5 linked regions of the Oryctolagus cuniculus genome follow. The protein of the gene in region 4 interacts with the protein of the main gene of each other region in a pairwise test. Links are inferred from orthologs where the notes say so. Each region holds a gene or a part of one and is shown on either strand. Other genes may lie near its edges. The genes, in order: PIAS3, TOPORS, UBE2I, SATB1 and PIAS4.

What was found.
Region 1: the proteins of SATB1 (region 4) and PIAS3 interact in a two-hybrid assay, tested with the Homo sapiens proteins (2 studies listed by BioGRID and IntAct). The link is inferred for Oryctolagus cuniculus from reciprocal best matches to the Homo sapiens genes SATB1 and PIAS3.
Region 2: the proteins of SATB1 (region 4) and TOPORS interact in a two-hybrid assay, tested with the Homo sapiens proteins (2 studies listed by BioGRID and IntAct). The link is inferred for Oryctolagus cuniculus from reciprocal best matches to the Homo sapiens genes SATB1 and TOPORS.
Region 3: the proteins of SATB1 (region 4) and UBE2I interact in a two-hybrid assay, tested with the Homo sapiens proteins (3 studies listed by BioGRID and IntAct). The link is inferred for Oryctolagus cuniculus from reciprocal best matches to the Homo sapiens genes SATB1 and UBE2I.
Region 5: the proteins of SATB1 (region 4) and PIAS4 interact in a two-hybrid assay, tested with the Homo sapiens proteins (2 studies listed by BioGRID and IntAct). The link is inferred for Oryctolagus cuniculus from reciprocal best matches to the Homo sapiens genes SATB1 and PIAS4.

Annotation. Positions count from the first base shown.
Region 1 is NC_091438.1:49,037,928-49,042,943, forward strand, and holds the end of PIAS3 (E3 SUMO-protein ligase PIAS3), read left to right. Parts: intron 1-27; coding exon 28-188; intron 189-1,180; coding exon 1,181-1,314; intron 1,315-1,394; coding exon 1,395-1,563; intron 1,564-1,748; coding exon 1,749-1,882; intron 1,883-2,020; coding exon 2,021-2,058; intron 2,059-2,529; coding exon 2,530-2,796; 3' UTR 2,797-3,194; coding exon of another isoform or gene 3,195-3,212; 3' UTR 3,213-3,643; downstream 3,644-5,016. Other genes in the region: NUDT17 (nucleoside diphosphate-linked moiety X motif 17), read right to left, coding at 3,980-4,136, 4,422-4,558, 4,739-4,837. UniProt on the Homo sapiens protein: Functions as an E3-type small ubiquitin-like modifier (SUMO) ligase, stabilizing the interaction between UBE2I and the substrate, and as a SUMO-tethering factor.
Region 2 is NC_091432.1:195,919,447-195,924,799, forward strand, and holds the end of TOPORS (E3 ubiquitin-protein ligase Topors), read right to left. Parts: intron 3,581-5,353; coding exon 665-3,580; 3' UTR 62-664; downstream 1-61. UniProt on the Homo sapiens protein: Functions as an E3 ubiquitin-protein ligase and as an E3 SUMO1-protein ligase. Probable tumor suppressor involved in cell growth, cell proliferation and apoptosis that regulates p53/TP53 stability through ubiquitin-dependent degradation.
Region 3 is NC_091450.1:33,711,605-33,717,477, forward strand, and holds the start of UBE2I (SUMO-conjugating enzyme UBC9), read right to left. Parts: upstream 3,520-5,873; 5' UTR 3,254-3,519; intron 3,071-3,253; exon of another isoform or gene 2,914-3,070; intron 2,767-2,913; exon of another isoform or gene 2,614-2,766; intron 1,120-2,613; 5' UTR 1,111-1,119; coding exon 1,045-1,110; intron 961-1,044; coding exon 877-960; intron 340-876; coding exon 267-339; intron 1-266. UniProt on the Homo sapiens protein: Accepts the ubiquitin-like proteins SUMO1, SUMO2, SUMO3, SUMO4 and SUMO1P1/SUMO5 from the UBLE1A-UBLE1B E1 complex and catalyzes their covalent attachment to other proteins with the help of an E3 ligase such as RANBP2, CBX4 and ZNF451.
Region 4 is NC_091435.1:154,005,656-154,011,493, reverse strand, and holds the start of SATB1 (DNA-binding protein SATB1), read left to right. Parts: upstream 1-2,197; 5' UTR 2,198-2,336; intron 2,337-3,475; exon of another isoform or gene 3,476-5,838. UniProt on the Homo sapiens protein: Crucial silencing factor contributing to the initiation of X inactivation mediated by Xist RNA that occurs during embryogenesis and in lymphoma.
Region 5 is NC_091447.1:59,294,179-59,300,293, forward strand, and holds the start of PIAS4 (E3 SUMO-protein ligase PIAS4), read right to left. Parts: upstream 3,714-6,115; 5' UTR 3,582-3,713; coding exon 3,555-3,581; intron 1-3,554.

The sequences.
Region 1 (5,016 bases), on a different chromosome or scaffold from region 4:
CTCTGACTGGAGAACTGCTCTCCGCAGCTCGGCAAAATGCGCCTCACTGTTCCTTGTCGCGCCCTCACCTGCGCCCACCTGCAGAGCTTCGATGCTGCCCTTTATCTGCAGATGAATGAGAAGAAGCCAACGTGGACATGTCCTGTGTGTGACAAGAAGGCACCCTATGAATCTCTTATCATTGATGGGTAGGGCCACTCTGCTTCCTTTTACCTAGGCTATCTCCTCTACCTCGCCTTGTTTTACCTTTATGTGAGAGCCAGAGAGACAGACAGCAAGACAGCTCTCATTTGCTGGTTTGCTCCCCCAAAATGCCCCCAACAGCTGGGGCTGGTGGGCCAGGCTGAAGCTGGGAGTTGGGAACTCAACCCAGATCTCCCAGCTAGAGGGAGGGGACCTAACTTCTTGAGCCATCATTTGCTGCCTCCCGGGATCTGCAATGGCAGGAAGCTGGAACTGGGAGCCAGAGCCAGGAGCTGAACTCAGACACTGTGATAGGGGCTGCAGGCATCTTCACCACCAGGCCAAACACCTGCCCCAGACCCCCTTTAGTACATATGGCTTATTTCTCCTCACCAGGAGAACCCCACGTCTCACCGTGTCCCTCTACTACTCCACATATGTGGTGACATTAAGGACTTAGTATAGATAAGGCATCTTGATGCTAAGCACTTTGCATGCATTATTGCACTAGATCTTCCTCATAACCCTGTGAGGTAGGTACTTCATTACAGAGGGGGTAACTCAGGCTTGGAGATTCTTACTCAAGGCTGCACTGTTAGCAGCAGAGGCCAGTGTATCGCTCGTAACGACTCCCTGACCTCCCACTAAGGAGGCGGTGAGGTCCTCCTGAGGGCCTGGGGATGCTGATCTGGCTGGTCTCGGGCCCTGTCCTGAGCCTATGTATGGTTCTTGGTCCCAGTGCCTTTTTGGGGGTGGTTGGTGGAGTTCTGCCTCTCTGCTTCTGTCTTGTTCCTAGACCATGCATAGCTAGGGCTCAGCTTGTGTTCACTTTAAAACATACAGTTTGTAAAGCTCTTATTTGATTGCAACAACTCCAGGAGGTCCCGTAGTTTGGACAGGATCCCTCTATTGCCCAGGAAGGTGAGTCCTGCATCTCTCTGGCCACTGTGGCACTCAATTCCCAGCCCCATGAATTTCCACCTCTTCCCTCCCACAGTTTATTCATGGAGATTCTAAATTCCTGTTCGGACTGTGATGAGATCCAGTTCATGGAAGATGGCTCCTGGTGCCCAATGAAGCCCAAGAAGGAGGCGTCTGAGGTTTGCCCCCCGCCAGGGTATGGGCTGGATGGTGAGTGACCCCCTGTCCCCCAGATGAGCTAGACCTTGGCTGGCCTTTTCTCTGAGACACAGTCTTCTCACCACTTGCAGGCCCCCAGTACAGCCCAGTCCAAGAGGGAGCTCCAGCAGAGAATAAGAAGAAGGTGGAAGTGATTGACTTGACAATAGAGAGCTCCTCAGATGAGGAGGATCTGCCTCCCACCAAGAAGCACTGTCCTGTCACCTCGGCTGCCATCCCAGCCCTGCCGGGAAGCAAAGGGTATGAGAAAGTAGGCTGACTCCGCACTAGGGAGGGCACAGCAGAAGTCAGTAGTGCTCTCTGCTCACCGGGCAAACCTGGGGCCAAGGGAAAGGCAATGGGGACAGAGAGGACCCTTGGGGAGCTGGGCGGGGTGGGGCATCTGGGGTTCGCCGGCTGCCCCAGCTCCTTCTCTCCACTCGCAGGGTCCTGACGTCTGGCCATCAGCCGTCTTCGGTGCTGCGCAGCCCTGCTATGGGCACACTGGGCGGGGATTTCCTGTCCAGTCTCCCACTGCACGAGTACCCACCTGCCTTCCCCCTGGGGGCCGACATACAAGGTACGACCCTGCTACCCACTCCCCCGAGCCCAGCAGAGCCCTTGCTGCTCACCAGGGGCCGGAATCCCAAAGACTTGCCTGTCTTGGTGCTAAGAGGGTGGGACAGGAGGGTGATTTGTATTTTCCCTTTCCTCCCAGGTTTAGACTTATTTTCTTTCCTTCAGACGGAGAGTCAGGTACGTGGTCCCTTCTCCCGTGCAGCTCTGATTGGGGCCCACACAGAGACCCGGATCCGCTTTTCTCAGGGGAGGTGGGGTGCGGGCAGCACTGGTACTTCCTCAGATTGCCACTTAGATCTTCCTGGATCCCTTACTGTTCTGTCCCGAGGGATTCTGGTGAGCTTCTGGCCCTGCCCCCCCCCCCCCCCCCCCGCAACCTGTGTATGCTTAAGAGCACCAGACCTGCCCCAACTGGACAGTCCACATATTTCAGACACCCACAAAGGCCAAGAACCTAGCAACCCAGAAGGGCTGTGTCAAGGCCTGGAAAAGGGGTGGCGTGGCAGGGAGGCAGGGGGAAGAGTCAGAGAGAGGCTTCTTGCCTCCCAGGGAACACCTTAGGGTCCCCATAACAGTTCTGGACCCTGTGACCAGGAGGCGGGGCTGAGTAGGGGTAAAGTCTGACACTGTGCCCTTGATCCCTCCCAGCACTACGGCCCCTCTGTCATCACCTCTCTGGATGAGCAGGATGCCCTTGGCCACTTCTTCCAGTACCGAGGGACCCCCTCCCACTTCCTGGGCCCACTGGCCCCCTCGTTGGGGAGCTCACACCGCAGCTCCACTCCAGCGACTCCTCCTGGCCGGGTCAGCAGCATTGTGGCCCCCGGGGGGGCTTTGAGGGAGGGGCACGGAGGCCCGCTGCCCTCAGGGCCCTCCCTGACTGGCTGCCGGTCTGACATCATCTCCCTGGACTGAGTCCCTTGGACTGTGGAGCCTGTGCTGCCCCCCACCCCGCAGCAGGTATGCTGTGGCCGCCTGACCTTTCTGGGGACTGTGGTCAGAGGTCAGGCCTGACTTTTCCTGGAGACCTACTGGTGGCCTCATCTTTGCTTGACAAGGCCAGCACCCAAAGGGTTAATATTTAACCTCTTCAAGGACATGGAGGGGTCTATTTTTGGAAATAGTCTTCAGATGGCTGCACATTCCTTTGGGTACCTAGGCCAACAGGAGGGGGTGTGAGTCGGGGGGAGGGGCTGAACCCCTGGCCTCTACTCTGTCTAGAGCCTCTTGGCAGAGGGGCCCTCTCTTCCCATCCCCCAAACCCAAACTTTCATTGTTTCTTCTTGTCTATTCCGCTCCCTTTGGCCATGCAGATGAGATGGAGAAACTGAGACAGGCGATTTCAGAGATGGACAGAGAACTCTATTTTGGGTTGCAGATATTTTGTACATAAACAAGAAAAACCAAAATACTCCAAAGATGACTTTCCCAACCTCCTACTTCCCAGTATAACTGAGGAGATGAGGCCTTAGCCGCGATCCCCAGGGGTTTGGGAGCAGGGCCTAGCCTCTTGCCTGGGTCTCTATTTATATATTTAAGTTCACAGTGTTTCTTAAGCTGACTAGCCTGGGGCCTAAGCGTCTAGAGGCCCGTGGCCCTGTAGTCAGGCCTGGCTTATTCTGCACCTTTCCTGGGAAGTGGGGGGACCCACGTGCCCTCCTTTGTCGGGCCCCTCCAGGGCCCAGCATACGTGTTGCAATTTTACTTTGTATTCCCAAAGTTGTAGCAGGTTTCTCACCCATAATAAAGGTTGTGAATGTTCTGTGAGCGTCGTGGAGGTGGGCTCTGGAGGGGATTACCCACTTCCCTTTCCAGAGCGCTGGGGTAGGGGAGGAGGGTCCACGTTCTGTTCTTCCTTTGCGACCTGGGTCCACGCTTGCCACACTGAGGACTTCCCAGAGTAGTCGGTTTTCCCTCGCGCCCCCGCCCATAACACCACCAGACCACTGGAGCCCAGCGCCACAGAACCCTCTCATGCCCCCCCACCCCGAACACCACCAGAGCACTCCACAGTGCCACAGAACCCTCCCGTGCCCCCGCCCAGACCACCACCAGACCACTCCAGCCCAGCACCACAGAACCCTCCCATTCCTCACCTTTACCGGCCCAGCTGCTGTAGCCAGAGCCCGAGGGCAAACTTGGTGCCAGAGCTGACTCTCTCCGGGTTGTCCTCTGCGGTAGGGGGGGTGTTCCGCAGCAGCGTGGATGTGGGGAGCGCCACGGCTCGGGCCCTGCCCTCCTCTAGTTCCATTGCTCTGCATGGGGACAGCTCCTGTCTGGGCTTTGCCTTGTTGGGCTTTCATATGTTAGGTCATCTACTCTCAACTACTGTAGCAGGTGGGTGGCTAGCTGTGAACCTCATTTTACAAAAAGGAAGCATGTTCAAGGAGGGTTAAGGGACTGGCTCCCATGGGAGAGCTTTGAGTCAAACTCTGGACCTCCGTGCTAGGCAGCTGGAGTCCTTGATCTCATGTGGTTTCTTAATTCTCAGAAAATCAATGGGGTGGTGGGGTGGGTAGAGCTCAGGGAAAAGTTCTTACCCCACAGAGAGTGGTAGGTCCGCGGGGAGGATTCTGGGTGCTTCTGTCCCATCCTCCGTGGCAGCCACTGCAGCTGCGATATCTGGTCCCAGCCACATAAAAGCACTCACTTCACTTGGGTTTGGTTGGATCCTGGCCTAGGGTCAGACAGGACCCCTCAGTCCCGGCTTCTCCCTGGGAGGCCTGTCCTTGATACTAGCCTACTTGCAAGCGGAATGCTTAAAGACAGGGGAGGAACTACTGGATGCTCTTGGTGTCTCTGCCCCGCCCCCTGTGATCCCCTGAGCCCCATTTCCTTCCTCCCTAGCCAGCCTTACCTGCAGCTGCTGCTGTGACTCCTGGGAGATGACGAGTAGATAGAGAACAATGTGATGGTATTTGGGGAAACCCCAGCTCAGCCTAGGCGGGTAGGCAGACTGAGAAGAAAGGCAAAAGAGAGGGCTTCCTGTCTCTGATTCTGAGACTTAGTAAGTACAGCTCTGGGGTGGGCCCACAGCTGAGGAAGTGGATGGTAGACACGGTGCACCAGGGACACAGGTGAGGGTTTGGGCCTCTCCCACTTCCTCTGTGGCTAAGGCAGCGTCTGCGGACTTGC
Region 2 (5,353 bases), on a different chromosome or scaffold from region 4:
GCTTTAGATTTTGGCTCTACCATTTTTTTTTAAAGCAATACTGCATAGGAAAATTTGTGAATTCTTGTTTTAAAGTGTTACCGTTTTATTTTTTTCTTCCTTTTGTTGAATACACATGTGTTTTACTGGCAGTCCAGATAAACAAGTATATAAAGGAAAATACTAAATTTTTCTGACAGAAGATAAACTGTGCAGATTAAAATGCCTTCTCAATTTATCCCAAAGAAATAGTTTTGAATCATACAAATTTTTAAGAAAAATAAAGACTGCCCAAAGGGATTCTCCTAGCATAACACATTTCCAGAATAACTCTCAAAATAAAAAAAAAATTCAAAAATACTCATTGACTACCTTAAAAATGTCAATACCATATGGCTTTATGAAATAACTTCTAAAATTTATACGTTTTTATTTAAAAAGGATCCCAAGTTTTAAATAAACTGCTAACAATATCTTCTTCACTTAAAAGTGCATATCTCAGAGTGGGACATACATAACTTTTTGAACAAATAATGATTTTTTTACAAATTAACACAAAAAAATCACAAAATATTTTAAGGGGAAAGTTTTCAATCTAAAGTCATCTTTAAATAGACTGTAATAGATGACATTGTTCTTTTTCCTTTTTATACCATCAAAACTCTCAATGAGATGCTTTTAAGACCTATCCGTCTCTACCAAGAGACACTGACATTAATGATGTCCGTGGAGATGGCAACTGCCTTAATGGCTCAGACTGAAGAGACACATTACTGGGCTGGTTCTCCAAATCAGAGGCAAAGGTGCTCTCTTCTCTCACGTCAAGAGTTTGTTCAACTGAAGTTGCCTGGGGTGGAATAACATCCACAGTTTTGTTGCCATTATTTAAGTTGCTAGTAAGTGTGGTAATGTCACAGTCTTTATCCAGGACTCCAAATTCATCTTCTATTGTAACAACCTCTTTAGTTTCGAATGGTTCCAAGGAAGGAGCCAAAAACTCATTATGTAGAGGGTCTGGAAGACCATTATTGTCATATTCTGTATCTTCTTTGACTTCAGAATCCTTATCACTGTCACTGTCAATGGTAATAACAACTGGGGACCGTGAAGTATTATCTCCATGGTGTTTCTTATGCTTCTTCTTGTGTTTCTTCTTTTTCTTTTTATGATGTTTAGCTGTATCAGTAGCTTTTCCTTCATAAACTATCTCCACACTTAGGCTCCTGGTTTTCCTTTTCCTCCTCTTGTGTTTTGTCTCTCTGTCTGATGATCGGCTGTCTGAAAAGCTATCACTCTCATTTTTATAGTTTCCATCCAATTTTGATGAAGATTTTTGATAATGGCTATCCTTCACTTTAGAAGCAAACTCACGGGACGGTTGAGCCACTTCATTAGTACCCTCCAAATGCCGTGTTTTATATTTTCGTTTCCCACCAGGCTTTTCATTTCTCATTCGGTCAGGTCCTGTAGATGCAGTCCTTGATCTATTACTAGACAGGCTCCTTGATCTGTGCCTTTCATAATAGTAATATTTCCTTTCATTGTGATTATTCTTTTTCCTGGCATTTCTTTCAGAAAAAGACTGAATTCTAAATTCTGGACTTGAAGATTGTCTGGAATAGTGGGCTCTAGACAGAGTCCTCCTCCTATAAGATGATTCATAGCCATCCCTGTCCTTGTTTCTACTATAGTAAGTATATTCCCACTTGTATCTGCTTCCATAATTATTTCTTAAATAGTAACGATCTCTATTTCTGCTCCGTGATCTTCTTCTCCCATGATCACTGCTACGAGACCTTGATCTGCTTGTGCTTTCACTACTTAGAGAGAGAGTTTGGCTTCTTCTTGACCAACTGCTATCTCTAGTTCGTGATCTCTTTTTGTCTCTTCTCCCTCTAGGTCTACTACTCTCCCTGCTTCTGGATCGTTTGCTCTTCACTCTTTTCTTCCCATGATGTTTTCTATGATTTTTCTGATCATGCCCACTTCTACTTTGGGACCGTGAATCTGAACTTCTTGATCTTCCCCTCTTCCTGTGTCTATGGTTATACAGGGAATTTACTCTGTCTCCTCTCAGGTCTCTGGGAGATGATACTGATGTAGATCGTTTTTCTTCCTTCTTTGATTTGATTCTTGTACCAGAATCACAACGGCCTTTATTCATTTGCTCATTCTTTCCAAGGACAGAGCGTGGAGATGAACATCTACTCACATCACTATCACTGGAACTGTAAGACTGCTCTTGTTCTTGTGCCTTCACTGTCTCCATTTTCTCATACGAGCCTAACTCCTCAGAATCAGAGGACAGTTCAACAAGTTCTGGGGTCCGCTCAGCTAGTGGTTTAACAAACCCAACGATGACACAATTATCTGAAGAATCATCACTGTCATTATTTAGGTCCTCATTGGTTTGCACACCTTGTATCTGAGATGTGGCTCCGCCTGTGACAAGTTCTTCATCTGAGCTGTCCGAAGTATTTAAAACGGAAGACATGGCAACATGTACCTGCTCTGAGCTTGAGTAAGATGGTCCTGGAGTTTCATCATCCCACGGTGCCTGACTAACAGTGGCAATGTTCATATCCAGTTCTTGGGTCTCGGCTTCATCTGGAGATATTGTTATGACTGAAGAATCAGAATGGCTGCCTTCTTCATATGAAGGAGCAGGGCAATCATAATTGGCATGTTGATCAAAAGCTGCCATATTAAAAGGAGATCGAGCAAAACTGATAAATTCATGTATAAAATGCTCAGTTCGATTAAGTAAAAATGGCCTTAAGTCAGACACAAACGCCTGACTCTCCAAGTCATAGCGAGTCACATTACTCATGATGATGTGCTGGACAATATTGACTAAAGATCCATGAGCTCCAAAAAGAACTGTGAGCTCACGTTTTAGCCAGGGGACTAATCTATGAAGGCAAGCTGGATTTCTACGGAAAAATTCTGCTGAGATATCCCTGTAGCGGCCACCATCTTCAATATTTCTAACTCGAGCACCTGCACGATAGAGAGTTCGTCTAAAATTAATAATATCTTGTTCTTGAATTTTCCGTAAAGATCGTTCATCTGCATTAGTTGGCCTCCTTATTGCAATCTGTCTCATAAATTGAGGAATTTCAACATCTCTAGGTCTTGCTGAAATGCCTAATCCTTCAAATAGTACTCCACTGTCTGGCGGAGTGGTTGTTCTTCTATTCACGGTGCTACTAGGTGAATAAACAGATGCATTCCGCTCCCTTGTCATGGTTGTACGGTAGCGAAATCGCCGAACATCAGGGGTAGTAAAGGAACCATTATATGCAGGCCTTAAGACATACTCCTTAAAGTCATCTTCTGCCCTCACAGAATGGAAAATAGAATCAAAGGGCTGTTTACATAGTGGACATTCAGCTTTGTTTTTTGACCACTCCTGTACACAGCGAAAACAGAACTTATGTAAGCAGCGATCTAAGTAAGACACATTATCAAATCTATCCAAGCATATAGGACACTTAGAATCAGGAGATGCATCAGCTGGTACTGTCTGCTGCAATTTGCTAGTGCCAGCTTTAGGTGAAAAGTTGTCCATTTTAAATTCTTTAGCAGCTGATGCCATTATCTGTAAAAGGGAAAGAAATATATCAGTAACCTGAAAAAAAAGAATGACTAAATAATCTGAACAAAAATGCAATAAAGACCTTGGAACATACTTTGGTGAAAATACCTGAATGGTTTATAGCATAGGAATATATAGTAACATACAGCACAAGCACTAAAGTTAGATTTCCTGGTCTTAAATCCTGGTTGCATACTATCAGTGTGACTGTGGACCAGTTACTACGCATGCGCTTTACTTTCACCTGTAGGTCAGTTATAATAGAACCTGCCTCCCAGGGTCTGTAAAGATGTAAAAAGACATTAGAAAAGGTACCCAGAACTTAATAATCTCTTAAATATTACGTAATATTCTATTTTGTTTAAAAAATAATTTAACTGGGCTGGCACTGTGGCGCAGCGGGTAAAGCCGCAGCCTGTAGTGCTGATATCCCATATGGGTGTAGGTTCAAGTCCTAGCTGCTCCACTTCCCATTCAGCTCTCTGCTATGGCCTGGGAAAGCAGTGGAAGATGGTCCAAGTCCTTAGGCCCCTGCACCCACATGGAAGACCTGGAAGAAGCTCCTGGCTTTGGATCTGTACAGCTCCAGCCATTGAGGCCAACTGGGGAGTGAACCAACAGATGGAAGACCTCTCTCTGCCCCTCCTTCTCTCCCTGTGTAACTCTGAATTTCAAGTAAATAAATGAATCTTTAAAAATATTAATACTAATAATTTCACTGAAAAATATTTCATATATACCCAAAAAAGATCAAAACAAAATATTCCAAATACCCATGTATCTACCACTCAGATTTAACACTTTTCATAGTTGCTCCAGATTTCTTTTATTCATTCCTCTATCTCTAAGAGAAAAAAAAACACAACCTTCAATTGATACTTTTTTTTTTTTTAATTCAACAGGTAGAGTTATAGACAGTGTGAGAGAGAGAGAGAGAAAAAGGTCTTCCTTCCGCTGGATCACTCCCCTTAATTTATACTATTTCTGTCTATTTCCTACCTTTCATGCACATATGCCCTTAATATTATATAGTATTGATTTACTTTATGATAATATTGTATATGTACTCTTCTAAAACAGCTTTAGTGAAATATAATTTACATATCAAAGTTCACCTGTTTAATTCTATAGTTCTCAAAAATTACTTAAAAAGGGATCTTTCAGTGGAGATAAAGTCAAATAAATGTAAAAGCACTTAAGGGCAATGGCTGACTAATAGTGCCCACTGAGTACTGTTATTATTATGACTACTATGCTATTGTTATTGTACTATTATAGTCAGCATTTCTAAAAAGCCTTCCTTGCCTTTTTTATTTAATCCAAAAGTCAACACCAAGGTATCTTGAAATTATGTTTCATTTCCCTTACCTATTACCTTTTCCCAAACGATCACTAGAATCTTAAAGATTAGCTTTGTTTTCTTTATATTCATCAATTTACATAGGCTTGTAACTTATAAAATGAAGTTGTTAGAGCTGAAATCTAACACTGATTGTATTGCATCACTGTTACCTGTAGACTCTCTTTGTGCATTCGATGCTGATCATTTTGTACATGTTAAATGTTAGCTTCTTCTTTTATGTTTCTGTGGGTTTACTATTCATCTTTTCCCACCTCCTTTATCACCAAAAATTCAATCACTGATCAACTGCTATCAAGTAAGTCAAATCATAGAACTGCAATTTTCTGGCCGGCGCCGGGGCTCACTAGGCTAATCCTCCGCATGCGGTGCTGGCACCCTGGGTTCCAGTCCTGGTTGCTCCTCTTCCAGTCCAG
Region 3 (5,873 bases), on a different chromosome or scaffold from region 4:
CTCTGAACGTGTCCTCAGCCTTTTTTTCCCTGCACGTCCCTGCGCTGCCCACCACCCCTGGAGCGGCCACGGCTGGGGGTCCATTCGCATGCGGCACTGGGTGTCAGTGCAGGGACCTCGTCGACAACCACTAAGAACCCGGGTCTCCCAGCCCCTTCCCCCACAGCCACAGAGCTGCAGGTCAAGCAGACCACCCCTCCCACCAGGGCAGGGACCCCCACGTGCGGGTGTGGGCGCAGGCGGCCGGCGGGCCCCGGGCGACTCACATTTCGGGGGCGAGGACGGGTAGTCGTCTTTGAAAAGCATCCGCAGCTTGAAGAGGCCGCCCTCCCACGGCGTCTGCGGGGACAGACCAGGTCAGGGGCCACGGGCGCCCGGCGGGGCCTCGGAGGGGCCGGGCAGGGCTGCACCGGGCTGCAGGGGACCCGGGGCTCGGGCACGAGCGCGGCCAGCAGCCCTCTCCCTGAGGTCCGCCATGGCTCCACCAGCCCCCGGGGCAGAGTCCAGTCCTGTCCGAGGGAGGAGGCAGCCACGCCAGGCTGAGCCCACGCTGCAGAGTAAACCCTGGGGCCGGCGGCTCCCGACCAGGAGGCCACCGTGACGCATCGGGAGGGGCGAGGAGAGCTGGGCCACGTGGTCAACCCCCATCCCGCGTGGGGAACTGGGTTCGAGTCCCAGCCTCCTGCCAACGCAGACCCTGGCAGGCAGACGGCCCCCGCCCCCCGCATGGCCCTGCCAGTCTCTCCAGCCAGGGGTGGGGCTTTGGAGCTGAGGCCACTGCCAGGTCAGGGACCGCGAGACATAAAGCTCCCTCTCGGAGCAGCCACCAGCCACCAGCGCGGGGTCCTGCCGCCGCCCCCCGCCCCGGCCGCTTACCCCCTTCTTGCCGGGGATGGCGCACTCCCAGTTCATGAGGTTCATCGTGCCGTCGGGGTTCTTGGTTGGGACAGCCACGAAGCCCTGCGTGGACAAGCAGGGGAGTCCCCGGGCGCTCAGGCCGCCCCGCCCCGCCCGCCCCCGCCCCCGCCCGCGGGCTCTGCTTACAAACGGGTGGTCCTTCCTCCAGGCCTTCCTCTCCTGGGCAAGTCTGCTGAGGGCGATGCCCGACATGTTCCAGTCCTGGGGACACGGGCGCCGTGAGGGCCCCACTCCCACGAGCCCGAGTCACGCCAGGCTGGGAGGGCCCCACACCTCAGGCCGCGGGCGCACGGCGCTGCTGAGGGGGGCAGCCCAGCGCCGCTGCCCCAGCCTGGCCTCCCCCACGCAGGGCGCCTGCGCCCCGGACCCGAGGGCCAGCGCCCTGACCAGGGCCGGCCACAGCGGCCCTCAAGGTCCAGGACCACAGCCCAGGGCCCAGGCCGCCGCGCCTGGACTCCACCAGCTGCTGTCTGCCCCGTCCTCGGAACCCACGGGTGTCGCCCTCCAAGTCCCTGGCTACAGAGCCACTCCACGGCTCACCTGGCACTGGTTAGAGGGGGAGGCTCTGCCCGGGGCGGGCGGCATCCCAGAACCCAGCAGGCGAGAGCCCAGGAGAGCCAGACCTCCACAGACGATCGGACGAGGACCACGGTCCTCGGGCTCCTGAGTGCCGGCGCCTCCGGCCGTCGCACACCGCGCACGGCTGCAGGCTGAGCCCACGGCTGCTCCACTTCCCAGCCGGCTCCCTGCGGGGGGACGCCCAGGGCCTTGGGCCCCTGCACCCGCGTGGGAGACCAGAAGAGGCTCCCGGCTTCCACACGGCCCAGCCCCAGCCGACGGGGCCGTCTGGGCGAGCCAACCAGCGGCTGCGCGACCTCTAACTCTGCCTTGACAATAAATAAACCTTTAAAGAGGCGAAGCCGCCGCCAGGCTGCCACGCCTTCCCGCACCTGGCGCCCCAGCCCGGGCCCCTTCCGGGAACAGGCGTGGCGGCCCGGTCCCAGCACACCTGCCTGTGGCTCACCACAGCCTCCACCTGCACGGGCAGCGCGCGAGCCAGCCCCGGGCGCCCTGGGGTCCCCGGAAGCAGGCAGCACAGCACGGGGCAGGGGCCGGCAGGGGCCTGGGGGCCGCGGGGAGCCCGACGTCGGTCCCCAAGGCTCCTGTGCGCCTCTCACACCCTCCCCGCTGCAACCCGCCCTCCCGAGCCAGCGCATCAGAACTGCACCCCTGCCCGTGCTGGGCCCGAAAGAGCTCCGCCCACAGAGACCCCCGCGGCGGGCGGCGCTGCCCGTCCGGGCCGAGCCACAGGTGCGCACCTGCTCGGCGCCGGGCGCCCGGCCTCAGTCTCAGCACGCAGCCGCGCTGGACAGGTGGGCTGCCGCGGCCCGCACCGGCCGCCTCCGTGGCCCTTCTCGGCCCTCCCGCACCCGCGGACGGGCCCTCTGGGGCATGCACCCCACGCCTCCCTCGGCTGCGCCCGACCCCCGTCCCGGGACCCCCGCGCCCCGCCAGACAAAGGCACAGCGGCGGGCTTGGCCAGCGGCCTTGCGGGAGAGGGCCGGGGCGCCGCGCGGGGCAGGCGGCCCACACAGGCCCCGGGAGGCGGACGGAGGGCCGGGCGCGCTCCGGGCCCCGAAGACGCGCGACCCCCGCGGCGGGGCAGGGGGCTGGGGGCCGCGGCCACGGCCTCACCTTGGCCGGCACGGAGCCGCCCGCCGCCCGTGGCGAGCGGGGCGCTCTCGGCCGCGCAGGAAAACTTCCCTCGGCGGCGGCGGAGCCCCCCGCGCGCCCGCTGGTCCGCAACCGGCCGCTCCCGGCGCCCTCCCGGGCGGCCCCGCGAGCCCCGCGGCCCGAGGAAGGCGCGGCCCGGGCGGCCGCCGTGACCCCGAGGCCGCGCGCCGCCCGGAAGGCCGCGGCGCCCGCCTCGCGCCCCGCGCGGGCCGCCGACGGCCCGGCCCGAGCCCGCGAGGCCCCCCGCCCGGCCCCGCTCACCTCGGGCGGCCGCGGCCCGGCGAGCGTCACGGACGAGCGGGGGCCGAGCGGCGGCGGCGGCGCTTCCCTTTGTCTCGGGACTTCCCTCCGGAGCCCGCTCCGCGCGCAGCCCCGAGCGCCGAGGACCCCGGCGCGGGCGGGGCGGCGGGGCGGGGCCTGGCCCGGGGCTGCCCGCCGCACGCCTGCGCCGCGCGCCGCCGCCGCCGCGCCGCGCCGCGCGCCGCCCGCGGCCCCGCGCGCTCCTCGCCGCCCGCGCCCCGCCGCCGCGCGCCCGCGTCCCGCGTCCCGTCGGGGAGCCCGGCCCGGGGGCGACTTTCCAGTCAGGCGGCGCCCTGGACACCTGTGCTCTTAAAGGAGCCGCGTCCTCGAAGTGAGGGAGCGTCTGCAAACTCTCCTTCGGGGCGGGCGGGCGCACTCGAGGATACGCCGGCGAGCAGCCGGGGAAGGGGCGCGCCGCGTTCCTCAAGGGCTCCCCGGATGCCCGGCGGGCGCGTCTCAGCGCGTAGGTTCCGGAGGTCTCCTTGGGGCCGGGGCCCGGGGCCGGGGGGCAAAGACCACTGAGGCCTACGGATGCCCGAAACGGCGCAGGACGGCGACAATCCCCTGAGTCTGGCGTCCTGTGAAACCCCCTGCAATTGGCCAATGCAGGGGCCTGGGCGGGGCATCGTCCAGATCCGCCCAATCAGCTGACGCCGTACGGAAGGCCGGACGCTCGCCAGACCGACGGGAGGAGAAGCGCCGACGCTCCCTAGCCCGGGGCCGTCCCGCCTGGGGGAGGGGCGCGCCGGGATTCCCGCGCGCGGTCTCGTCCCACGAGCGCGAGCGCGCGGTTCGCGGGTCCGCGCCGTCCCGCGCGGGCACGGCGGGGTCGCCCCTGGGGCTAGGGCGCCGTCCGAGCCGTCGGCGCGGTGGGCGCCCGGGGCCAGGCGATGGGGTCGGCCGCAGAGGGCCTGGAAGGCACTCATTCACGCCCTCCTCCAGGCTCCGCCGTCCGCAGCCTTCGCAGCTCTGGTTTGCCGGGACACGGAACGTGGCTGACAGGCCTGGCGGCAGCGGCGGAGACCCCCGAGGGGGCAGAGACGCCCCTCATTCCCCGCGCCCCTAGGTCCCGGTCCCAGCTTCCCCGCGGTCTGCGCTGGGCTGTGTGGCCGTGGAGAAGCCGCTGGACCGCGGCCCTGGGGTCCCAATGGGCAGGGGTGGGGGGCAGGGCCTAGGTCTGCAGGTGGGGGGGGTAGGGCCCAGGTCTGTGGGGAGGGGGAGCTGGGGGGCCCAGGTCTGCAGGTGGGAGGGGGTCAGCTCAGGGGTCCCGGATCCGCGGTCCTCCACACGGGGACACCTGGGGCAGGGAACCCACCTCAGATGGGCCAGGTTCAAAGGACACACTGAGGCTGGGGGGGGGGGGTGAGGGCCCCGGCCCCGCCTTGGGGGGCAGCCCTCCACAGATCACCCACAAATCCGGGCTGGGGGGCTGGTCAGAAATCCACACCTGAGCAAAACCCAGAACTCCCGAGAACAGGTGCGTCCCGACCCCGTGCCGGGGGCGGAGCCGGGGTCTGGGCCCACCCTCGGGGGGGGGGGGAGTGTGCGTCCCAGGACAGCCGGCGACCGCGGGCCCACCCCGCCTCGCACTCCCGCCCAGGGAGGAGCGCGCAGAGAGGCTGTGTCCCGGGGGGAGCGGAGGCCGGGCCCTCCTCCCCGTGGCCGCCCTTGGACGCCCTTCGCTGCCCACCGCCTGGTGACCGCGGGCAGCGCTGTCCCTGCCCCAGAGCCGCGCCCCGCCCGGATGCGGGACGCACCTGCCGCGCGCTCCCGCCTGGGCCTCGGCTGCCTCACTTCCGTCTCCAGACAGGGCCTCGCGCACCTGCGCCGCTCCCGCCTCCGGCCTCTGCCCGCGAGCGCTGCCCGCCCAAAGTCGCCTGCGGGGGCTCCTCCCCGGCCCCTGGGCGGCCGGGCGGGCGCTCTCGGAACGCCCCGGGGGCAGGGGTCCGTCTGCCTCCGCACCTACAGGACTGCGGCGCCTTTACCTGCCCGGGTGGCCCTCGCGCGGCTCCCCCGCGGGACCTCGCACCTGCACAGCAGGTGGGCAGCCGGATGCTTGGCTGCGCGGGGGAACCGGGGGCGAATCCAGCCGTGCGGTGCGCCTGGAGCCGGGATCCCGCTCGTACGGGGAGGGGAGCAGCAGGGGAGGGACGCGCGCAGGCCCGGCAGGGCTCGAACACGCGGAACGCGAGGCTGTTACAGGCGCCAGGTGCGCCTCCTCCTCTGCTCCACCGGGCCCACCGGCGACACCTGGCGTCTCGGCCCCGCTCCGGGCCACGCACGCACACGCCCCCTTCCCGCGCGCCCTTGGCGCCCACCCGCAGACCCTGGCCGGCTCCTGGCGCCCTGTCGCGAGGCGCCGGCCGCATCCCCGGCCGGACTGCTCGCCCAGGTGTGCCTACCCCAGGTGAGGGGCTCCAACTGCGCACGCGCCCTCCCCGCAGGGGGCACCGCGCAGACCCCCTTGGACGCGTTGGGCTTCAAGTGCCGGGGGACACCGCTGCGGGCATGGACCCGCTGTCCTCGCCATGCGGACTTACCTGGGTCCCCGGGCGGCGCGGGGCGGCTCGGCGGGCGCTGACCGTCGGGGTCTGCGAGGGCGCGCGTCCCGGCGCCTGCAGTTACTCCGCGTGGCCACACGGGGGCGCCTGGGCACTCACGCCTCTGGGCGGGGGGCGTGGCCAAGCGCAGCAGGCGGCTTGCACCTGCTGCCGGGCCCCTGGGGGATTCCAGGTAGCCGCCGCCCCAGGCAGACCTTCAGCGTTGAAGCTGCTTTACGTTTTCTGCAGGTGCGTGCGCAGGCTGCTTGGTGCCTGCGTCTTGCGGTGTGTAATGTCCACTGCATTTGCCAAGCTCTGGAGCCCCCGGGCACCTTGACGGGGGCCCTGCCTCCCCAGGTGAGGCCAGCAGCCAGGGAGCAG
Region 4 (5,838 bases):
TAGGCAACTCAGCATTTTGGTAAATTGAGGCAAAAGGGTCTGTCTTTTGGATAAATTCCAATTCTAATGAATTCAATATCCATATACAGGGGAAAAAAGGGGGGGATATCAGAAAGCAGTACGAATACATGAGTTTTCTCCGTTATTTAGAAAAACACACAAAATTACAGCACAGTGGATGCATTCCTACTAGGGCTTGAAAGTGGAACCAACCCCTGTGTAAAAGATAAAATAAGACTGCATGGATCTCAGGATTTTCCCAGCGTGCTTTATTCATAGGCATCTGAGAGGAGCAGGACCTGGCAGAGCTTTTAGGAAGCGCTGGATTCTCAGCCCACTCTTTCCAGGAACTTCCCTGTGAACAGTGCTCTGTGCTGGCAGCATGGAAATCTTTAGCAATCTTCCTCCTGCTTCCATAGTTTCTCTCTCTCTCTCTAAATACAATTATTTATGGGGACTTAATGAGCGAGCAAGCCTGTGCGAAAGGAACTGAAGAAAGTGCAGCTTCCAAAAACACAGCCAGGCAGCTCTACAGTCTTTATTGTTACACCCTGCCGCTCTGCAATGCTTATCAGGAATCACAACTCCATTTCTCGCCAGACACACTTGCACGAAGGGAAGAAGTAGAGTCTGCTTCCCCTTAACTTTAGGTAAACAGTAGTAATGTTCTGTTGTCATACTCAATGCAAATTTCCCAAAGGCGACACGCACAAAAGACCTGTTAGCTGCCTTACAGCTGGGGGCAGGAATGGCAGGGCAAGGAGGGAAAAGTTGATGGAGTTCCAGTTTATCCTTAGCCTGGGGACTGGAGCCTCCAGGCACCCGCACCCTGGTGGAGCAGAGGTCTGTGGAGTTTCCGCCCCGCTCTCGAAAGGTTCCTTCTCCTCTCCTCTCCTTAGCCCCCTGTCCAGGAAATCCTCATCTCTTCCTCCCTCTTTGCCCCCAGCTTTTGGGGGGACTCGAACCTCAGCTTAGGCGTTCTCATTCCAGTGGGCTCAAAAGTGCAGCCGCTGACATAAGGAGGAATATTGAAACAAATGGGCTGGGGCACACCGCTGGGGTCGGCAAGCGAACCCCTCTGTTCTACCACCAAGCGCCGCTCAGTTGGGGTGCAGCCCTCCAAGATGGGGGTGGGGGTGCTGAGTGGGACGGGGGTGGGATGAAGAGAGACGGACGGGCCAGGCTGAGAGGGAAAGCGACCCTCTAGGAAAGATCTCGACCGAACACTGACGGGAAAAAAAAAAAATTGGCCCACATGCCCCTAGTGGGGAGCGATGCACCCCACGCAGGCTGGGAGGGGGGCGCATCGGGGCCTCGCACCTGACTTCCTCCTCCACCGGCACCCACACCGCTGACACCCCCTCTCAGTACCCTCCCCAAAAGCCCAGCCAAACAACGAACAACAAGAGGAAGCCGCAGGCGGCAGAGGAGGGGTGCGCGTGGTGGGGCCCGGAGAGGTGAGGGGGCAGGGGTGGCGGGCGTCGGGAATCGTGCCGCGCACCCCCGAGCGCCCACACTTACCCCTAGCGGCCCAGGGTCCGTTCTTCGCCGCTAACCCCGGCGCGTGCCCCTCGCCCACCCCGGGCCCTCCAGCCCCCGCCCCCACCCCGGCCGGCGCGCTGGGAGGGGGCCCGGGAGCGGCGCGCGCGGCGGCGGCAGCGGCGGCGGCGGCTCGGGCTCGGCTCAGCTCGGGCTCCCGTGCGCCCAGGGCTGCCAGCGGCCGCGGAGGCTCCCGCCGCCAGGGGGAGAAACCGGGGCGGGTGCTGGGGAGGCGGGCCGGGCCCCGGCCGGCCGCCCCGCCGGGCCGCCCGCGCCGCGCCAGCTCCGAAGCGGCGACGCGGGGTCCGCCGAGCCCCCGGGCGCAGCGAGCCGGCCGAGGCGCGGCGGCTGGATGCGCGCCCGGGTGGCTGTGGCCTCCCGCGGGGGCGCCCGGCCGCGGCGCTGCGCCTGCAGACTGCGGGCGCGGCGACCGCCCAGCCGAGCGCGGCTCCCGCCGGCCCCTTCCCCCGCCCGCCCCCGCCGCCCCCTCCCCCTCCCCCTCCCCCGTTAACATCTCCTCCCTCCCCCCCCTGCTCTTCCTTCCCTCGGCCCCGCGCGCTCGCTCGCTCCTCGCTCCTCGTCTCGCTCTACCCTTTAAACGCCCACTTCGGAGGGGGAAAAGAAGGCAACTTGAAGTCAAGTTGCGATTAACTTCCGCGGCAGCCGCAGCTCGGCGGCGGCGGCGGCTGGGGAGGCAGAGCCGCCGCCTCGGAGTCGGACGCGGGCGCGCCCGCCCGGAGCCGTGCCTGCTCTCGGCCGCACTCGACGCCACCGCCGCCCCCAGCACCCATGCCTGAGTGAGTTCTGTTCCTTTGCCTCTTTTCCCCGCTGCTCCTGCTCTTTCACGGCCGTGCCTGCCTCTTTTTCCGGGATCGACCCAAACTTCTCTGCAACACCCACCCCCGCGCCCCGCGCCCCGTGCCCCGCGGCTCGGCTCAGCGCTCGCGGGCGGCCGCCGGGGCCCGGGGGCTCGCGAGCCCCCGGAGGGGTGCGCCTTCCCGGGAGGGAGAGCGGCGGGCTGGGCACTGGCCGCCGCCGCCGTTCGCCCTCTCCCGAGGTGTGGACACGCGCACACACCTGCCCGGCAAACTCCCTTCAGGTCATCGGTCCAGCCCCTGCCAGAAGAGAAACCGGGCACGGAGGAGACCAGAGGACGCGGACGGGGAAAGGGGCAGGCTCTCCGCGCGCCCCGGACTGGGCGGGCTGGGGAGAGGAAATGTGCCCCCGCCGGCCCGCCGGCCCGTGCAGCATCCCTGGCCGGTCCATCCCCGCCTCCTCTGCGCCCGCTGGCGCGGCTGGCCGCGAGCGGCGGAGGCGAGGGGCCTGGGAAGTTTGTGGCAACTTCTCCATCCTGGGAGCCGCTCGGGCGCCTGGGCGCTCGCGTCGGGGCCGGGAGTTGGAAAGCTGCAGCACTCCGCGCCTCGAGCCCTCGCGGGCTTGGCTGCGGCGAGGCCGGTCCCGGAGGGGCTGCGGCGTGGATGCAGGTTAGGAGGCAGGGCGCGTGCTGCCCTCGGAGCGGGCATCGGGACGTCACAGGTGCAGCCACGAGGTCCCCTCCTGCGGTCAGGACCTGAGCGCGGCGGCCTCCTCCAGGTGCTCTCCCCTGCCGAGACTCCGGGGCTTGGCAAACCACGAGGAGAGGGAAGAAGCAGGCAGGTGGCCAGCCCGGGGAGGGGCGCGTGGCTGCGGGGAGGGGGGGAGGGAGGCGGGGAGCTGGGCGCGGGAGGGGGGACGCTGAGCAGGACCCTCCCGAGGTGACCCTAGAAGACGGAGAGGGCCGAAGTGCGTGGCACTCGGGTTGGAGGTTCTGGCTCCGGCCTCCACCGGGGCGTCGCACATCTCCCTTCCGAGCGTCAGCCACGGGGTCCTGTCGCAGAGTGCTCCGGTTGGCCACTTTGACCCCTGCGCCCGTCCTCGGAGAACTTTCTCCAAGACAGCCCGGGGTTTCCTGGCAAATGCTCTAAGACTGGAACTCCACGTAGTGGTTTAAAAAAACAAAAGCAGGGACGACAGAAAGATCTGATGCTGGCAGGGAGGGAACCTTTCTTTCCGGACTGACTGGGCTTCCACGCCTGCATCCTTGGAGGCCCGGGACCTGAGGTTCCCCAGAGGACAGAGGAGGGGGGTGAGAGTAAGTCAAGAGCGGGTTTTGTCCTTAGCAGCCCCTGATATCTGCAGTGTTTGTGCTGCGGACAGAGTAACTCGTCCCGTTCAAACTTAACTGACGTCGACACCCTATCTAAGGTGGATTTTTCCGAGATGTCAGGAATGTGAGGTTTATTCTATATTCAAATGTAGCTGCTAGATAAATAAATAAATAGGCCCCGCACTTTAACTCTGGAGAAAGCCAAGGTTGCAAGTATTTGCTTTGAAAACCTGCAGTCCCCTACGTGGTATTAGTGTGATGGTTTAGCAGCCGTCCTTTATTTCTATTGCGTATTATTTTAGTGGAACAGTAGTACATTCATATACTGGCTGCTCCAGTCTGCTGGCAAACATTAGCATTCAAGCTTACATTTTTGACAAATGTGCAGACAGGAATAGCATGAATAGGCATCTTAAATATTAACAACCTAAGCATCTGTTGTGAAACAAATTTAATATATTTACTCTGTTTTTCTCACATTGTTAGGAAAGGTTATAATAAGTGCATAATTTCAACTTTAGTTAGCAGAAGTAACTGGCTGTATCTTTCACTACCTCACCAAGTGTTTAACACAATCACCAGACGTAAATACTTTAATTAACTTGGTTAAGCTCATTATTAAATACACTTTAGACAATGTGCATGTCATGTAAAATGTAACTGTAGCAAAATATGTATCCTACTTGTGCACATTTTAAATAGCTATGCACTTTATAAATATACCAAATGTTTATTCTTCATCACCATTTGACACTTATTACTTCATATTTTTTCTAATGGAAACAGTATTTTAAATGTAGAGTTGTTCAGTCATATGTAGTACATAATATGTAAGCAGTAGCTATAAAATCCAAAGCATTGTTAAATTTGAATATAGCTACATGTAACAGGATAATACAAGAGAAGTAAAATCAATACTCAATTTTGTATTCCCTTCTGAAGAATAATAAATACAGATGATGAATAAAAAAAAGAATAGGGGCTTCCCTCCTAAAGTGCAAACTCCTTAAAATGTGTGTGCTGTGGGGGTGGGAGAGGGAAGAAATAGATAAGACTTAAAGAACTTCCAGAAGTCTGAATAGTTATTTTCAGAATCAATGCATTCCTCACTTTCCCACAAGTTGAAATATGTAATAAATAATAGTTCTTTGTATGTAAAAGTATTCAAAAGGAATGCCTTTTGTTCAGTTGTTGTAATAAATTAATATATTCTTTGGTTGATAATCTAGAAAACCAGTTCTTTTGTCTCCTAGCATCTTAAACAAGAACAGCAACAAAATGATTATTTGGTTTATTGCTGCAAAGAAGTCTGTTGCCAGCCATATGAACCTGTGGTTGACTATGATAGGATATGCTGAGTGATGGTTAGGAACTCCAGTACATTAAATTAGCAAAGATTGAGATATCTAGAGGAGAATTTCAGCTCTTTTCTTTTCTTTTCTTTTTTTTTAATGTAACAGGTTGTGGATTGTAAATTAGGCCTAAAAGGTCAGGTGACAGGCACCTGTTCCTCATTATTGTAAAAATCTTTTGGTTACAAACACTATTAAGCTAAACACAACATGGATATACAGCAGGGACTCTCTAAAGCACTCTAGTGATTTTTCATCTGCTCTGTAAATTTCCAGAAGGGCCATATATAGATATGCCCTTTACACAAATACATCGTTTCTTCCATACATGTTGTCTTGGATGACTGTAATTTATGTTATATTAGTACTTGGAATTGATGAAGTATGTAAAATAAATGCATGTGACTAAATCAATCTTCAGATTATGTCTAGACATATTGCAGTCAAAAAGTGTATTTTAAAACACCTCCTTTTCTTATAATCTATTGATTAATTACCAGAATTTTTGTTCGTATTTTAAATAGAAACCTCCCAAAATTGCCTTTCATACTGTTTAGATGAGATGTATTCCCATTTTAAATGTGCCATGAAATATTTTTTGCTTGATACTCATATTTAAGGAGGAAATCAGTTGCTGTATATCTCCATAGCTTTGTGGCACACACAGGAAGCAAGCCACATTTTACATGAATGCTGTTAGAAAGGGTATCATCATTTTATTTTCAAACTTGCTGCTTCTCCTGGGTGTGTTCGGCAGTATTTCCATTGGAATTAGGGAAAGTGGTTTGATTTTCATGAATG
Region 5 (6,115 bases), on a different chromosome or scaffold from region 4:
GCCCCCGGCCACCCCAGAGCTGCCAGGCACGGGCCCCCGGCCACCCCAGAGCTGCCAGGCACCAGGCACGGGGCCCGGCCACCCCAGAGCTACCAGGCACCAGGCACGGGGCCCCCGGCCACCCCAGAGCTGCCAGGCATGGGGCCCAGTCCACCCCAGAGCTGCCAGGCATGGGGCCCAGTCCACCCCAGAGCTACCAGGCACGGGCCCGGCCACCCCAGAGCTGCCAGGCAGAGCGGTCAGCCCACGGCAGGGGCAGCCACGCACGGAGCTGTGACCCCTAAAAGAGCCACGGAGGTTAACGCCCCGGCCTGCAGTGCCACGGTCCCCTATGGGCGCCGGTTCGAGTCCCGGCTGCTCCACTTCTGATCCAGCTCCCTGCTGTGGCCTGAGGAGGCAGCAGATGGCCCAAGTCCTCGGCCCCTGCACCCGCGTGGGAGACCCGAAGTCCCTGGCCCAGCTCCGGCTGCAGTGGCCACCAGGGAGTGAACCAGCGGATGGAAGACCTGTCTCTACCTCTCTCAGTAACTCTTCTGAACAAACAAAAAATAGCCCTTAACACAGCAGGCGTCCACTCGGGAGAGCAGCGCCGGGATTCAAATCCACACCCTGCGTTCTTCCTACACTGCCCCAGCCCGTTCGGTGCCCCCCCGCAGAGGGCGGACACTGGCCCAGACGGCTGTCCGGGTAAGGCCATCGTGGGCGCTGGGCGCACTCTAAAACACCGGATGTCCCCTGGGCCTGGCTCTGTCCCCTGGGCCTGGCTCTGTCCCCGGGGCCAGCCGGGCTGAGCGGAGCGCCCAGAGGGCCCACGGGCGGGCACGGTCTCACCGGCGAGGTCGGGCCCTGTGTCTGAGCTGGGCTGTCCGGCAGGACGCTGCACTAACCCCCACACCGGCCTGGGTGAGAGACCCCCAGGGGCAGAGGGGAAGCAGGTGCCCGGGCCTGGAGAGAGCAGGGCCGCCGCGGGGACACGGCCGGCTGCCCCGAGCGTCTGGCGGCCTGGGGTCTCCCGCCCCCGGCTGCTGGAGTGAGGCCCCGAGGACGGGCTCCGGGGCCCTGGCTGCGCCCACCCTCAGCCAGCCTCAGCGGCTCCTCCCGCAGGGGGCTCCGGGCCGCCCGGCCCCTTCGGGCAGGTGGGGAAACGGGGGCGGGAAGGGGCCGTGGCCTGCCCGGAGTCTCCCACGGTTCCTCGGACTCAGCCTGGGCGCCGTCGCTGTCCAGCGGGCCGCTGCCTGGGGGTGCCGGCCAGCTCTGGGGTCAGAGACGCCGCCCCTCCCGGCCTGACTTCCTGTGGCGGGGGGGGGGCTTGTGGACAAGATGTCGCTTCTGGAAGAGGCTCAAGGCTGGCACACCGCGCTGCACGCGGGAGTCCCCCGCACGGGCTGGACATCCGGAGCCGCGGGCGCCCTCACGCTGCCATCTGCTCGCCGCCGCCGCCCAGGAACCTGCGCGTGACCGCGGCAGGCGGAGGGGGCGCCCGGGGCCACGGCCCACCCCCACCAGACCTCTGCCCGCAAACAGCGCAGCCTGGGGCCTGGGTGGGAGCCCGCCCGGGGCGGCCCCCTGAGCTCTGTGAGCAGACAGTGGCCCCCCACACCTGCACAGGCTGTGAACTCTCAGCACAGCGACCCCACAGGCCGCACCCCCAAACCTGCCTCAGGAGCCCCCCGGATCAGCCGAGCCTGTCACGCCCTCCCCAGGACAGCCCCCTGCACCCAGGCCACATCTGCACCCATTCGCGGGTCGGGGCGCTGCAGCCCCCAGCCCCGCACGGGACCGCGCCCCGAGGGGGTCAGACCCCAGTGCAGCCCCCGGCCCAGGCGAGGCACGGGCTGCACCGCGCGGGGTGGGGGGAACGGGGCGCTGCGGCTCCCAGCCCCGCACGGGACCGCGCCCCGAGGGGGTCAGACCCCAGTGCAGCCCCGGACCAGGCGAGGCACGGGCTGCACCGTGCGTGGCGGGGGCAGCGGGGACGCGGGCGGGGGGACGGGGCACTGCGGCCCCCAGCCCTGCACAGGGAGCGTGCCCCGCGGGGGTCAGAGCCCAGTGCAGCCCCGGACCAGGCGAGGCACGGGCTGCACCGTGCGTGGCGGGGGCAGAGGGCACTCGGGCGCTGTGGCCCCCAGCCCTGCACGGGACCGCGCCCCGCGGGGGTCAGAGCCCAGTGCAGCCCCCGGCCCAGGCGAGGCACGGGTTGCACCGCGAGGCAGGGGCAGAGGGCACGCGGGCGCTGTGGCCCCCAGCCCTGCACGGGACCGCGCCCCGCGGGGGTCAGAGCCCAGTGCAGCCCCCGGCCCAGGCGAGGCACGGGTTGCACCGCGAGGCAGGGGCAGAGGGCACGCGGGCGCTGTGGCCCCCAGCCCTGCACGGGACCGCGCCCCGCGGGGGTCAGAGCCCAGTGCAGCCCCCGGCCCAGGCGAGGCACGGGCTGCACCGCGAGGCGGGGGCAGAGGGCACGCGGGCGCTGTGGCCCCCAGCCCTGCACGGGACCGCGCCCCGCGGGGGTCAGAGCCCAGTGCAGCCCCCGGCCCAGGCGAGGCACGGGCTGCACCGCGCGGGGGGGGGGGGGGGTGGCGTCTACACCTCAGCGCGGGGCTAAGCTTTCACAGGCCGGGGCCTCGCGCAGGGGCCCCCGCCTCCCTGGTGGCTTCTGGGAGAGGAAGGGACAGAGGCCAGGGTGCTGCATGGGTGGGGGGGGCACCCGGGGCAGGCGAGACGCTGGCGCTAGGCTCTGTCCCCACAGAGTTCAATGAGGTCCCGGACCCGGGAGAGAGCACCGTCTACGCACACGGAGCGCGCACCGCCACAACTTTCGCTAGAGAAACGTGTCTACCAGACCCCCGGGGGCGCCGGGGGGAGGGGCCTGCGCGGAGGGTGCGCAGGGGGGGCGGGGAGAGGGGACCCCGAGCCCCAAATCCGGCCCCGCGGCGGGGCCCAGCGCCCGACACTGAACCCGGGGCGCCTGGGGGGGGGGGTCCCTGGGCAGGAACGGAGGAGGGGCTGGAGCTCCGGGACCCACACGGGGGGCCGGACCCGCGCCCGGACCCCCCACCCGCATGCCGGCACTGGAGGCCGAGGGGTCAGCACCCGGAGTCGCGACCTGCCGGGCCGGGGCGTGGGGGCTCGAGACCCCGCCGCCGGCCCCCAACGGCCCCGCAGCGGGGAGGCGCGAACACCCGCGGCCGGCGCCCAGGAGTCGAGCGGGAAGCCCGGGCCGTCCGCAGGGAGGCGCGGCCCTGCGCCCGCTCCGCAGGGGTCCCCGGCCCCCGGCCGCGCGGGTGGGCTGCACGGAACCCCGCCTCCAGTCCCGGACGGGCTCCGGGCGGGAACGCGGGGGTGAGGCTGGGACCCCGCCCCCGGCCTCCCCGCCCCCCGCCCACACCCTGAGCCCCGGGGCCGGGGGCGGGGGCCGGGCCGGGGGGACCCGGCCGCCCCGGGAGCGCCAGAGCGGAAGGCGCAGAGCGCGGCCTGCGGCCGGGTCCCCGCCCCCTCGCCCGGCCGCCCGCCCGCCCCGGCCGCCGCCGCCGCCGCCGCCGCCGCCGCTCACTCACTTTGGCCTCCACCAGCTCCGCCGCCATCTTGGCCACCAGCGTCCCCCGCGCCGGGAGCCCCCAGCCGTCGCGTCACGTGACCGACCGCCACTCGCGGGCGGGGCCGCCGCTCGGGCCAATTAGCACCCGCGCACGCTCCTCCCCCCACGGCGCGCGCTGCCACTCACTGCGCAAGCGCCTGCGGCCCCGCCCGGGCCTCGAGCCAATCAGAACAGCCGGATGCGGCCCCCCTCCCTTCTGATCCCGGAGGCCACGCCCACTCCTGGCGTGGTCTGGCTTCTTAAAGGGGCAGGAGCCGCGCGCAGGTGGGGCCGGGTGCTGGGTCGCCTCTGGGGAGGGACGAAGGGAGGGGGCGGTGGCGGGCGACAACAATGCGGCCAGGTGTCGCGTCTCCCGGCGCGCGGCGGTCGCCAGGTGCGTGCCTGGACTCTCCCCGGCGTCGGCGGGGGAGGGGACGGTTGCTCAACCGCTGCGGCCGCCAGTGCGTGCAGTGGGCGCCTTGCAGCGCCGCGCGGTGCGCGCTCAGCGCCCCTGGCGCCCCGCGCGCTGCACATCCGGGTCCTGGCGCGCAGCTGGGGCGCGGGCGCTGCACCCCGGGCTGGGCCCGGGCGGGCGAACGCGGGACCCCCCTCCCCGGGGCGCCGCGGGCCGGTGTCCACGGCGAGCCCTGGGTCCCTGTCCGGCTGGGACCTGCCCAGCTCCGAGGCAGCCAGGGCCAGCAGGCTGAAGCCGGGGGTGGGGGCAGCAGCTCCATCCCGGCCCCCCAGGGCCGCGGCCGGGCCGAAGCTGGAGCCAGCACTCCCATACGGGCTGCGCGCGTCCCAGGCGTCATCTTCCACGGTGCCACCCATGGCAGCGGCTTGGGAAGAGAGACCCGCGCTGGCCGTGGGCTCCGCGTTCTCAGCCGGAACCTGCGGCCGGTCAGCCTCCGCTGTGTGTGCTCACCTGGGCTCAGGAGTGTTCGCAGCACCACAGCTGATGGAGACAGGGCACAGCCCCGGTCCTGTCCCGGCCTGATCCTGTCCAGCCCCGGTCCCGGCCCTGGTCCTGTCCCGGCCCCGATCCTGTCCGGCCCCGATCCTGTCCAGCCCCGATCCTGTCCAGCCCCGATCCTGTCCCAGCCCCGGTCCTGTCTCACCCCCGGTCCTGTCCCGGCCCCGATCCTGTCCCAGCCCTGGTCCTGTCCCGGCCCCGATCCTGTCCCAGCCCCAATCCTGTCCCAGCCCTGTCCCAGCCCTGATCCTGTCCAGCCCCGATCCTGTCCCAGCCCCAGTCCTGTCCCGGCCCCGATCCTGTCCCGGCCCCGATCCTGTCCAGCCCCGATCCTGTCCGGCCCTGATCCTGTCCAGCCCCGATCCTGTCCCGGCCCCGATCCTGTCCCAGACCTGATCCTGTCCCAGCCCCGATCCTGTCCCCGCCTGGTCCTGTCCAGCCCTGATCCTGTCTCAGCCCTGATCCTGTCCCAGCCCCGATCCTGTCCAGCCCCGATCCTGTCTCGGCCCCGATCCTGTCTCGGCCCCAATCCTGTCCCAGCCCCGATCCTGTCCCAGACCTGATCCTGTCTCAGCCCTGATCCTGTCCCGGACCTGATCCTGTCCAGCCCCGATCCTGTCCAGCCCCGGTCCTGTCCCAGCCCCGGTCCTGTCCCGGCCCCGATCCTGTCCCTGCCTGATCCTGTCCCACCCCTGGTCCTGTCCCGGCCCTGGTTCTGTCCCAGCCCCGATCCTGGTCCCAGCCTGATCCTGGTTCCTGCACCCGCATGGGAGACCAGGAAGAAGCACCTGGCTCCTGGCTTCGGATCGGCACAGAGCTGGCTGTAGTGGCCATTTGGGGAGTGAACCAGCAAAAGGAAGACCTCTCTCTCTGTCTCTCTCTCTCACTGTCTAACTCTGCCTGTCAATAAATAAATAAATAAATGAGAAGCGCTGGGAGGTGAACTCGAAGGTGGCCAGGCTCTCCAATTCTCTCTCCATTTCTTGATTACCCCCCCCAAATAAATAAGGGAATAAGTGGCTGCAGTATTTTTTTAAGATTTATTTATGTATTTGAAAGTCAGAGTTACACAGAGAGAGGAGAGACAGAGAGAAAGAGAGAGAGAGAGAGGAGAGGCAGAGAGAGAGAGAGGGGGGGGGTCTTCCATCCGCTGGGTCACTCCCCAGTTGGCCGCAGTGGCCGGAGCTGTGCCGATGCGAGCCAGGAGCCAGGAGCTTCTTCCAGGTCTCCCACGCGGGTGCAGGAGTCCAGCACCTGGTCCATCGTCCACTGCTCTCCCAGGCCACAGCAGGGAGCTGGATCAGAAGTGAAACAGCCAGGACTCGAACTCGCGCCCCTATGGGATGTCCGCCCTTCAGGCCAGGGCGTTAAACTGCTGTGCCACAGCGCCGGCCCCTGTATTATTTCTAAATAAAAATTTCAAGCAACATCTAAATGATGTCATTTGTAACAAAACTATCAGGACTTTATGTTATTGGAAAACTATAGAAAGACAGAAAAAATAAGAGCACATACAATTTGACTTAGTTCACTCCTTTTAATGTTTATTTACTTATTTGAAAGGCAGA